Linked DNA regions of Saccharomyces cerevisiae S288C. Each later gene encodes a partner of the first gene's protein in a complex. Each region holds a gene or a part of one and is shown in the gene's direction. Other genes may lie near its edges. The genes, in order: MRPL1, MRP20, MRPL44 and MRPL9.

What was found.
Region 2: MRPL1 (region 1) and MRP20 share a complex: the UniProt entries of both Saccharomyces cerevisiae proteins name them as parts of the mitochondrial large ribosomal subunit.
Region 3: MRPL1 (region 1) and MRPL44 share a complex: the UniProt entries of both Saccharomyces cerevisiae proteins name them as parts of the mitochondrial large ribosomal subunit.
Region 4: MRPL1 (region 1) and MRPL9 share a complex: the UniProt entries of both Saccharomyces cerevisiae proteins name them as parts of the mitochondrial large ribosomal subunit.

Annotation. Positions count from the first base shown.
Region 1 is NC_001136.10:682,224-685,124, reverse strand, and holds MRPL1 (mitochondrial 54S ribosomal protein uL1m MRPL1), read left to right. Parts: upstream 1-1,543; coding exon 1,544-2,401; downstream 2,402-2,901. Other genes in the region: TMA64 (Tma64p), read left to right, coding at 1-1,179; mitochondrial 54S ribosomal protein bL34m MRX14, read right to left, coding at 2,633-2,901; YDR114C (uncharacterized protein), read left to right, coding at 2,899-2,901. UniProt on the Saccharomyces cerevisiae protein: Component of the mitochondrial ribosome (mitoribosome), a dedicated translation machinery responsible for the synthesis of mitochondrial genome-encoded proteins, including at least some of the essential transmembrane subunits of the mitochondrial respiratory chain.
Region 2 is NC_001136.10:1,275,982-1,278,937, forward strand, and holds MRP20 (mitochondrial 54S ribosomal protein uL23m MRP20), read left to right. Parts: upstream 1-1,664; coding exon 1,665-2,456; downstream 2,457-2,956. Other genes in the region: DIT1 (Dit1p), read left to right, coding at 1-231; DNA-directed RNA polymerase II subunit RPB7, read right to left, coding at 673-1,188. UniProt on the Saccharomyces cerevisiae protein: Component of the mitochondrial ribosome (mitoribosome), a dedicated translation machinery responsible for the synthesis of mitochondrial genome-encoded proteins, including at least some of the essential transmembrane subunits of the mitochondrial respiratory chain.
Region 3 is NC_001145.3:720,460-723,402, reverse strand, and holds MRPL44 (mitochondrial 54S ribosomal protein mL53 MRPL44), read left to right. Parts: upstream 1-1,999; coding exon 2,000-2,057; intron 2,058-2,204; coding exon 2,205-2,443; downstream 2,444-2,943. Other genes in the region: TATA-binding protein-associated factor TAF7, read left to right, coding at 1-790; ORA1 (oxidoreductase), read left to right, coding at 1,007-1,810; MRE11 (MRX complex nuclease subunit), read left to right, coding at 2,750-2,943. UniProt on the Saccharomyces cerevisiae protein: Component of the mitochondrial ribosome (mitoribosome), a dedicated translation machinery responsible for the synthesis of mitochondrial genome-encoded proteins, including at least some of the essential transmembrane subunits of the mitochondrial respiratory chain.
Region 4 is NC_001139.9:935,574-938,745, reverse strand, and holds MRPL9 (mitochondrial 54S ribosomal protein uL3m MRPL9), read left to right. Parts: upstream 1-1,862; coding exon 1,863-2,672; downstream 2,673-3,172. Other genes in the region: TOS2 (Tos2p), read left to right, coding at 1-1,622; exportin CRM1, read right to left, coding at 2,951-3,172. UniProt on the Saccharomyces cerevisiae protein: Component of the mitochondrial ribosome (mitoribosome), a dedicated translation machinery responsible for the synthesis of mitochondrial genome-encoded proteins, including at least some of the essential transmembrane subunits of the mitochondrial respiratory chain.

The DNA of each region.
Region 1 (2,901 bases):
TCCAAAGTCTTTAAAATGAAATTGGAACCTCCATTTGTTCTCAGTACTCAATCAAAGGATAACAATATCAGTAGTAAACAGATAGAATCCTCGGAGCAAATCAAGGCTGTTGAAAAGGAACAAGAAGATGTAAAAGAAGCGTCTGTTGATGTAGAGGAGATTGCTGAAGTTCTAGACCATTTCACTGTGTCGGATGTAGATTATTTCATTACAAGAGCATTATATTATACCTTGACTCAAGATAAAGGTTTGGAATTACCCATTTCAGCTTCTAACTTCATCTCAAACCACATTATGCGTAATTTGCCTCCAATTGATCACAATGAAGTCAATGTAAAGAAAACTTCATGGAAAAAAAGCGCAAAATTTTTGAAACACTTCGAGAAAGAAGGCTTCTTGAAATTAAAAGGAAAGGGGGATGACTTAACTATTGTGGGCAAAAATACTGACAAGGATGAGTTAAAGAACTTTGTGCCATATAAGCTTGGTTGTAGCAAGTCTGCCACAGAAAGTAGGGAGAGCACAACCTCGAAGGAGAAAACATCTGGAATGATGTATTCACTGACTCTGTATAAACCCTTTAATCTTGCCAAAGATCTTTTGAAGGAGGTTAATTTGGCTTCTCACACGTACTACACCTCTCAGGACATTAGAAGCGCGGTTTCTCAGTATATTTCTGTCAAGAACCTAGCAGACACAAAAGATAAAGGAAAAGTTATTATGGACGATCTATTATTCGATATGGTCAATAAGAAGAAGAAAGTCTTGAATGCTTCACGTATCATTGCTAGAGGTGAAATTTTGCATCCCTTACTCACCAATAATTTTACCGAGTTCTATCAGATATTCAAAAGCGATGATACTCTCTTGTTCAAGGCGCCAATGAAGGGTTCCCTTCCGCATATTAAGATTATTACTGAAATGAAAATTGGCAGAAAAGTTATTACCAGAGTGAGCAATTTTGAAGTGTTTCAAGTCGACCCAGAATCACTTGCGGCTGACTTAAGAAAGATTTGTAGCGGATCGACAACAATAAGTGAATCACAAACATTCAAATGTGCTGAAGTGCAGGTTCAAGGTCCACACGGTCAATCGATCATTGATCACCTTAACAAGCTAGGTATTCCAAGCAAATGGATAGACTTTGAGAACAAGTTGAAGAAGAAAAAAAGAAAGTAGATTTATATCATATAAATGTTTAAATGCGTAAAAATGCCCGACATCAAAGCATATAGAACTTTTTTACCTAATCGAAGCTTTTCTAAAGTAGGTATTATGGTAGTCTTGAAACCCACAAAAAATATGAATGTATCATGGGAGGGAACGAAATGTTTTCAACAGCGGTAAAAATATACTATATTTGTATATCCAGTTCATCTTTACTATTCTCTATTTTTTAGTGTAACTTACATTATGAGACTAGCGACAAAATCTCCTTTTTAAGCGAAAAGAGAAAACTTTCGAAAAACCAAAGTATTTTGAAAAACGACCTGAAATAAAGGGAATTTGAAGAAAACTAAACAGTGATAAGTCATCAAAGAAGATGCTATCCGTAGTAGCGATCCCGAAAATATGTGTCACAGGTCCTGCAAGAAGATGCTTTTTTCATACTGCAAAAAAACTATACGCAGATGACTATAAACCAGCAGCTATGTCCTCCAATGCACCTTCGCTAACAAAAGACCAAGCCAAAAAAAGAGAGTTGAAAAGATTGGTACAACGAAAGGCCGAGGCAAAGAGACCAGCTACAGCAAGCCCATTGTACATGCCTGTTACAAAGGCACTAAGATATTTACGCGCAGCAGAAGTTGGCAGACCGCAATCGCAACAGACAATTAATTTGACTACATTGGTAGTCGGTGAAAGAGGTACAGCGCCTTTATCCGGTAGCGTGACATTTCCTAAGCCTTTGAGATATATCAAAATTGCTGCCTTTACCAACGACGAAAGTAAATTGGAAGAGCTTCGTGAGAAATACCCAAATCATTTGATTGGCGGAGCAGATCTTGTTGCCAAAATTAAAAGCGGTGAAATTAGCGTTGATTTTGACAAAGCATTTGCAACTCCTGATATTGTTCCAGCTTTACAATCGCAGGTGGCCAGGATACTTGGTCCTCGTGGGGTTTTACCCTCTGTCAAAAAAGGTACGGTGAGTGATGATATAAGCTCCTTACTTCAAGAAAGTCTAGGATCTATGCCTTTCAGGCAAAGGGGAAACTCTATCAGCATTGGAGTCGGCAAATGCTACTTCACTGATCGAGAAATTTTACAAAACATTATATCCGCTAGAGCGGCATTTAAAACTGCTGTTGATAATCAAAAATCTAAGAAACCAAATATACTGAGTAAAACCACATTATCAAGCACACATGGCCCCGGTATTGTAATCGATTTTGCTTAATCAGCGAATCAGTTTTGTCTTGTTGGACTTTTTTAATTGTATATATATATATACTGGTGCATTTTCTTTCTTTTTATATAAAATCATGTACATACAAAGTAACCGTCTTTTTAAAGTGGAATAAAGTAACTGCTCTTTTATTTTTGAATAATAGTGAAAGTGTATGTTGCATAATCATTAGATACCTATGTACAAGAAGTATTCAAATTTATCTGAATAGTATGTGAAATTTCAATGAGACAAAAACCACCTACCTTTGAGCTTCCTCCTTTTCAATATCTTAGAGCCCTGTTTGCTCTTGGCCCTAGCCAAGAAACCAAAAGTTCTCTTCCGTTTCAATGTACTAGGTTGATAGGTGTTACCCCTTGATTTCCATCTTCTTTGACCTATTAAGCCAAATCCCAACGGTGTGAAGGACGGAGTCTTCAATGGTGAACTGTTTAAGAGCATACCGGTTTGTGGGCGTAACACAGATAGAGCAGAGAAAGAAGATATAGATG
Region 2 (2,956 bases), 590 kb from region 1:
GTTAGTTCGTTAGAAGACCTTGATGAACCCAAATTTGAAGATTTTTTACATATTCCCACACCTTGGCATAATTGTGTCGTGAAGGTTGAGGATGAAAAGGAGAAATACTTTTTGACAAAATCAAAAGTAGTCAAGGAGGCTCTCGAAAAGGGTATGTATGATGGTGTATGGAAAGATACTCGTTTCGATATTGGAGAAGGAGGACATTTCGTTATCAAGAAAATCTCTTAATAAAGTAAGAGCGCTACATTGGTCTACCTTTTTGTTCTTTTACTTAAACATTAGTTAGTTCGTTTTCTTTTTCTCATTTTTTTATGTTTCCCCCCCAAAGTTCTGATTTTATAATATTTTATTTCACACAATTCCATTTAACAGAGGGGGAATAGATTCTTTAGCTTAGAAAATTAGTGATCAATATATATTTGCCTTTCTTTTCATCTTTTCAGTGATATTAATGGTTTCGAGACACTGCAATGGCCCTAGTTGTCTAAGAGGATAGATGTTACTGTCAAAGATGATATTTTGAATTTCAATTGACGTAATTAATGATACTATTAATAATACAGAGCGTATATGAAGTATTGCAAATAACATGCACAGTTCTTTTGGGATGAGAATGATAATGAAAGGCGAAGGCGGGCGTTCAGAAAAGCGTTGCGGAGTAACAAGTGATTAAATAGCACCCAAATAATCTTCTTTGATACTACCGATTGCGTGAATAGAACTCACTTGACTGATACAACCTTCAATTTTAACTCTAATTCTACTTTTTATGGTGATGACATCCTCGGAACTTTGGTATGATGGTGGGTTTGAACCCGCATTAAAGGTTAAATCTTGAGGCATCAGATGCTTTGTCACAAATACTTTCATTGGACCTACTTGCACTTCGAACCCGTGCTGAGAACATGAAACGACTGTGCCGTCCACTACTTCCCCTTTAAATGGTTTGAAAACTACAGCTCTATATTTCACGTTGAACTCGGCGGACCCATCTGTGGGCAATATTCTCCCACGTTGAATATCTATATTATCATAGTCTAGGACACAAAGAATATATCCGAATTTACCCGTACACGAACCTTCAACCTCTTCCAATAGTTTTGTCTTTAGATATTGCTTCATTCGAGGACCGAAAAAGGACGGATGAAGGGTAATATTAAGCGAAAGGTCTTTAATAAAAAACATTCTCAGAAATTGAGTTATTTATACAGTGGTTGAAATGTGAATCTATTCTTGGACTTTCCCACTGTCTAATCGCAAAGGAGAATGGTGTAGGAGGAGAAACGGAAAAAGAAAGGCTATGATATTCTGGGAGAAGAGATAGGTGGACAGACCTGATCGACCCAATGTTAGAGAATAAATCGACGAAGTGAGCTTGTCTACGTTATTGGCATTTTCACTGGGATATAGGAATACCGCATTTATTTTCCTTGTATTTTTCAAAATAGCCGTTGAAACCCACAGAAGATCACTTAATACGTAATCGCGTTATACGAATTTTCTCGATGAAAAAGGGAAAACGATGGTATTAGAACTTGAAATGTACATACATTTCTTGTGGAGAACGTAACGCTACTAACAAATAATGTGCTTTGATTAGCAGGCTCCAACAGAAAAAAAAATAAAATAAAAATAAAAAGTACGCAACACCAACACAGAATATGCCACGATTGACGGTTGGAACGAAGAATATGTTGTATCCTTTGCAAAAAACACTTGCAGTAGGAAGTTGCAAGCCAGAGCAGGTTCCAATAAGATCACTAGCCTCAGTGGTGGAGAGTTCCTCCAAAATACTCGACAAAAGCGGCAGCGATCGCGAAGTAGATATAAACGTAAGCGAGAAGATTTATAAGTGGACAAAGGCGGGCATAGAGCAGGGAAAGGAGCATTTCAAAGTTGGAGGTAACAAAGTCTACTTTCCCAAGGCCAGGATCATCCTCTTGAGGCCCAACGCGAAGCACACACCGTATCAAGCAAAATTCATCGTCCCAAAATCGTTCAACAAACTGGATCTCAGAGACTATCTTTATCATATCTACGGCTTAAGAGCAATGAACATTACGACGCAGCTGCTTCATGGGAAGTTTAACCGTATGAACCTACAGACGACGCGGTTTAGAGAACCGCAGATCAAGAAAATGACTATCGAGATGGAAGAACCCTTCATTTGGCCCGAAGAACCCCGTCCGGACGAAAACTCCTTCTGGGACAGCACCACGCCTGACAACATGGAAAAGTACCGTGAAGAAAGACTTAACTGCTTGGGCTCAGACGCCAACAAACCCGGCACAGCATTCGACGGAGTCGTGGGGCCTTACGAACGGGTGGCCCAGCCTTTTATACCTCGCTTCTTAAAACGAGAGATAGACAATAAGCGAGAGCGTCACGCCGCCGAACTGCAGCGCGCAGATAAACTAATTGCCCTGAACAGGTACATAGAAGATCTACATTAGAAGGTTTCCCATTCCACCCCTTCGTTAACCCACACGCAAATACCCAGATAAGCATCTTGCACCCCTCACACTTGTATATACGGAGCAAACTACATAATCTCTAAACAGAAAAAAAAAAAAAGAAAGAAAATTAAGAACATTACTTTTTCCGAGCAACAAACGCAAAAATATATGAAGTGGCTGTAGAACATGCCTTACGGAAGAAAAGAATGATGATGGCATCCCCTTCCCCTGCCCTGGAAGGTGGCCTGTATTTCTGTTCTTTTTTTATTTTTGTTCGCGCAAAGAGCAAGAACATTGGTTGCTTTACTTATTATTTTCAGGGTCGCTTCCGCGGGATGCCATGCACGGATGCCTGCGGAGACAGTGGCGCGGAGCCGTCCGCATGCTCGTTCCGCGGAGAGTCTCGAGCGGGTCCGCGAGGGGCGGATCTGCAACGCACGGTGCCGGGGTTAAGGTATGGCACGATGGTAAGACGATGAGGGAAAAGAATACTGCTA
Region 3 (2,943 bases), on another chromosome or scaffold:
TTTCAAAGAGGAGCCTGGAGAGCCTTTATCTAGACCTGCTTTAAAGAAAGAAGAGATACACACAATTGCTTCGGCAGTAGGAAAACAAGGTGCAGAAGAAGAGGGAGAAGAAGGAATGGAAGAAGAAGAAGAGGAGGATCTTGACCTAGGCGCTGCTTTTGAAAGTGAAGAGGAAGGTAGCGGTGCCGAGGGAGACAAGGAGCAACAACAAGAGGAAGTCGGTGATGAGGTGGATCAAGACACAGGCGGAGAAGATGATGACGATGATGACGACGGTGACATTGAAGCTGCTGGTGGGGAAAGTGAATCTGATGACGAAAAAGACGAAAACAGACAGCACACTGAATTACTTGCGGACGAATTGAACGAACTAGAGACCACCCTGGCCCATACCAAGCATAAATTAAGTAAAGCCACGAATCCTCTTTTGAAAAGCAGGTTCATAGATAGCATTAAAAAGCTCGAGAAGGAGGCTGAACTAAAACGTAAGCAGTTACAACAAACCGAAGATTCTGTCCAGAAACAACATCAACATCGCTCTGACGCAGAAACTGCAAATAACGTCGAGGAAGAAGAAGAGGAAGAGGAAGAAGAAGAGGAAGAGGATGAAGTGGACGAAGACGAGGAGGATGACGAAGAAAACGATGAGGACGAGGATAATGTGCATGAACGGGAACACATACAAGAGAACAAGGTGGTGCGCGAACTTGATGAAGCCCCCGCAGAGGAAACACTCGACCAGAACGATCTCGATATGATGATGCTATTTGGTGCAGAGGGTGATGAGTAAGTTCTCTTTATCATCTATATATTACTCTTATACACTATACGACTCTACTCTATGACGTATAGCATTGATATATATTAAGGCACGACACCGATTTTTCTTATCGGAGCGATATAAAAAGCTGAAGAAAGGAGGATAGATGAAACAGCATGGCGCATAGAAAGTGTTCAAGCTCACTAGTAAAGGCGGGAAATAGAACATTGAGAACGTATTTTGATAATGTCCCAAGGTAGAAAAGCTGCAGAAAGATTGGCTAAGAAGACTGTCCTCATTACAGGTGCATCTGCTGGTATTGGTAAGGCGACCGCATTAGAGTACTTGGAGGCATCCAATGGTGATATGAAACTGATCTTGGCTGCTAGAAGATTAGAAAAGCTCGAGGAATTGAAGAAGACCATTGATCAAGAGTTTCCAAACGCAAAAGTTCATGTGGCCCAGCTGGATATCACTCAAGCAGAAAAAATCAAGCCCTTCATTGAAAACTTGCCACAAGAGTTCAAGGATATTGACATTCTGGTGAACAATGCCGGAAAGGCTCTTGGCAGTGACCGTGTGGGCCAGATCGCAACGGAGGATATCCAGGACGTGTTTGACACCAACGTCACGGCTTTAATCAATATCACACAAGCTGTACTGCCCATATTCCAAGCCAAGAATTCAGGAGATATTGTAAATTTGGGTTCAATCGCTGGCAGAGACGCATACCCAACAGGTTCTATCTATTGTGCCTCTAAGTTTGCCGTGGGGGCGTTCACTGATAGTTTGAGAAAGGAGCTCATCAACACTAAAATTAGAGTCATTCTAATTGCACCAGGGCTAGTCGAGACTGAATTTTCACTAGTTAGATACAGAGGTAACGAGGAACAAGCCAAGAATGTTTACAAGGATACTACCCCATTGATGGCTGATGACGTGGCTGATCTGATCGTCTATGCAACTTCCAGAAAACAAAATACTGTAATTGCAGACACTTTAATCTTTCCAACAAACCAAGCGTCACCTCATCATATCTTCCGTGGATAAACCTAGCTAAACTAAGTAAATCTGTATACTTTTTATACATGTAAGACTTTTTAGCTATTTCATTCTTCCCTGAACCGTTTTGCGCGATTCTACGGAATATACCGGCGAAATAAAAGAGATAAACTTATGGATCCTCAAATAGAGGATGAACAGATGTGAAGAAGAAACGAGCTTAATTATATCTTCGCCATGATAACTAAATACTTCAGTAAGGTAATTGTCAGGTTTAATCCCTTTGGCAAGGAAGGTATGTATTTTTTTTCGCTCTGTTATTCGTTCTCCTTACCTTTGGCCATCATGATTTAAAGATTTGGCTAAACTAGGCTGAGGTAGGCTCGAACCGATCTATCACAAATACTAACAGCAAATGATATGGTCATATCATTGATTTCAGCGAAAGTTGCTAGGTTAGTACTTGCTGCCATTCCACCAACGCAACGAAACATGGGCACGCAGATTCAATCGGAAATTATCTCAGATTACAATAAAGTCAAGCCTCTTGTGAAAGTAACCTACAAGGACAAAAAAGAAATGGAAGTCGATCCATCAAACATGAACTTTCAGGAATTAGCCAATCATTTCGACCGTCACTCGAAACAGCTGGATCTCAAACATATGTTGGAAATGCATTGAGAAAATAAAGGCATCTACAAATCTCATTGTAGGCATGCACGTTTCTAATATTCTAACAAAAACAAAGTCAGAGTTCACAAGCAAGCCTGTAAATAATATATATGCAATTACACAAACGTATAGATAGATATACCCAACCAAACTGACTTAAGGTTTAAATAGTATGGCCAATCGAATAGAACCCAAACATTATAGCCATATTAAATTACTCTTTACGCTTGTAAGGAAGACAATGTGGAAACAACATTAAGAGAATGCAGACAATTGACGCAAGTTGTACCTGCTCAGATCCGATAAAACTCGACTATGGACTATCCTGATCCAGACACAATAAGGATTTTAATTACTACAGATAATCATGTGGGTTACAACGAAAATGATCCCATTACTGGCGATGATTCTTGGAAAACTTTCCATGAAGTCATGATGCTGGCCAAAAATAACAACGTAGACATGGTTGTACAGTCCGGTGATCTTTTTCACGTGAATAAGCCTTCCAA
Region 4 (3,172 bases), on another chromosome or scaffold:
TATACTATTTACCGAAGATGGATTCTTCTATGAATTCTGCAAACTCAGACAGCAATGCCACAGAAAAGAGGTTTATTTATGGTGGTTATGACGATTTTTTGCAACCGTCAATCGAAAACTCACAATCTTTCAAAGATTATGTGAGGCGTATCAATGAGCATGCACCCTCCGCTTATAATATTGCTTCACTGGCTTCGCAGAATAACAGCAAGTTATCGGTCCCCTCCAAGCACATTGACCTTTCGAATAAGATTTCTTTCGAATCGTTAGAGAATTCTGAGCTGATTGTTTCACCACAACACTCAAATACTGGGCAAGACTGTGATCAAAGATGTGATAGTACGTCAAATCCTGATGTAAATGAAAAGTCCAGCCATAACAACGATAATCGACTTAAATCGAATTATACGAGTCGTAGCGGGCTCGAGCCTCAGTGTTCGAGAGAGGAGGAAGAAAATATTGACAGAATAAGAAGCATTTATAACATTTATTTTGAGAAAAGTAATAGCACGATACGATCCTCTGTAACTTCTTCGATACGGCGTGACTCTAAATTAAACATCGCTACAAGAAAAAGTGTAAATATGAGCTCTCAAGACAATCCAAATGATACTACATTAATTGAACAGAGTCACTTCGGAAGTACAACTGTCCAAGAAATTGATTCCAGTTCCAGCGCCAATGAGGAATATGAAGATGCAACTGATTATCTGCAAGTGCCGGCACCACAAGAGAATAAAAACATTGCATCGTCAGTATATTCAGAAGTAGCAACCAGAGAAAAAGTGATTCCCGAATCGTCTCTATCTCTTACATTCCCACCACCGAATGGTCTTTCAACGAGAATTACCTCATCAATATATTCTGACACGGTCGCTAAGGACCATATTCACTCTGCAAAGGCTCCCGTACGGGCCCTTTCGGAGGGTTCGGGTCAGTCAAATCTTACTTCTGCTCAGCAATATTCTACATATTTTATAGATCACTGCAACCAGAGCAATGATGACAATTACTACTATAATTATCCCCTCCCGTTAGAACATCCTCAAAATTATGAGAACATCGGAGATTTGCCCACGCCTACCCAATTCATTTATTCCACCTCTTCGCATTCCTTGACGTCATTCAAAGGAAGGCCTAAACCTCCAAAAACACTAAAACATGTACCTACAGCTAGGCTTAATGGGACAGCGTTGAATCCAATGGATCATCCTGAAATGTTTTACAGTTCGCCTACGAAAATACCGTCAACATCTTTGACAAAGCAATTTTGTACGCCCCTTCCATATCAGCTTAGACAAAGTGTTGTTATGACCAACCCATCAGAACTTTCTATGAAACCTCGCTATAAGCCTGCAGGATCTTTAAGAAATTTAATAAAGGCCCAATATCTCCCTGGTAACTCATCCACTACAACATCATCTTCTTTATCACAACCGCCGTCAACGTTGTCAAATGCAATAAATTTCCGTGTTAGTGGGTTATTGGATGACACTGACATCTTGCAGCCTCCTAGTGTGGGGGAAATCTTACCTTTTAAAGCTTCTACGGAAGACTTAAGGAAGCAACTGGGCACATCCCATAATTACGAAATAACACCGTACGAGAATGTACATGTATAAATAAAATTCAAAATCATGAAATGTTGTAACAGTAAATAAGCACCATAAATTCGTTTCTCGATGATCCTCTTCTTTCCTTAATTGAAATGCTAATGCCATTTCTCCTATTACAGTCGCGAGATATTTGTTTTCGGGTAATCCCTTGTCAAACGAACTTTATTGAAAAATATATGGACGATAAATTGACAACTGGGACGAGAAAGGGCAACTCTTTGAAAGCAAGAGAGAACAAATATAGCCATGTCGAAGTTCCTACAGGGATCAATATTTAGCATATCAAAACTTCATGTTAGATATTCTTCTACTCGGCCTTTTCTAGTGGCTCCTAGTATTGCTAACAGTATAACAACCGAGGCTCCAGCGATTAATCACTCACCTGAACTGGCAAATGCGAGAAAATGGCTACCAAAAAGATGCGGTTTAATTACTCGTAAGAAGGGAATGATGCCTTATTTTGATAAATCTACTGGTGAAAGAAGCGCCGCTACTATATTAGAAGTTAATAATGTTGAAGTAATAATGCATAGAACTTCGGAGGTCAATGGGTACTTCGCGTGTCAAGTAGGGTACGGATCAAGGCATTTGTCTAAAGTTAGCAGACAAATGCTTGGTCATTTCGCTTCTAAAGTTGTTAACCCAAAAGAGCATGTGGCCGAATTCCGAGTTAAAGATGAAAAGGGATTAATACCACCTGGCACATTATTGAAACCCTCTTTTTTCAAAGAAGGCCAATATGTTGACGTCAGATCAGTCAGCAAAGGCAAAGGTTTTACTGGTGTGATGAAAAGGTATGGATTCAAGGGTTTGAGAGCATCTCATGGTACATCTATTATGCATAGACACGGTGGTTCTTATGGTCAAAACCAAGACCCAGGTAGGGTACTGCCAGGAAGAAAGATGCCTGGTCATATGGGAAACGAGCATGTTACTATCCAAAATGTTAAAGTTTTGAAAGTCGACGATGAAAATAATGTTATTTGGGTTAAAGGCTCTGTGGCTGGGCCCAAAAACAGTTTCGTTAAAATTCAAGATGCAATCAAAAAAACTTGAGCATAAGGCGTATAAGTATTTTACTACAATCATGTACATACATCAATAATAACAATAAAATGGGTAATCACTTAAGAATCTTCAAATAATATTCTTTACTTTTCCATGAAGTTGGCTAAATAGTATTTAGTACTATATTAGAGTATTGGAACTTTGAAGAACCAATTTACATACAATATGAAGTGAAAAAGAAATGAAAACCCCGTGGTTATAAATTAGAGACTAGTTAATAAAAGGGAAAAAATATTGGAAATTTAAAGAATGATACGCCACCGCCTCTAATCATCAAGTTCGGAAGGTTTTAATAACCCACCAATCTTGGCAGCTTTTTCCCTCTCTAGTCTATTCTGTTCCATTAATGCATTCTCTTTATCTTCAGCAAACAAATAATCTGTTGGATCACCTCCGACTTCTTTGATTTGCACCAAAAAGTCCCTCAAAGTGCCTTTGAAGACCACTAAGTCTTTGTATTGTTTAGTTAATGCAGAGAGAAAACTTGC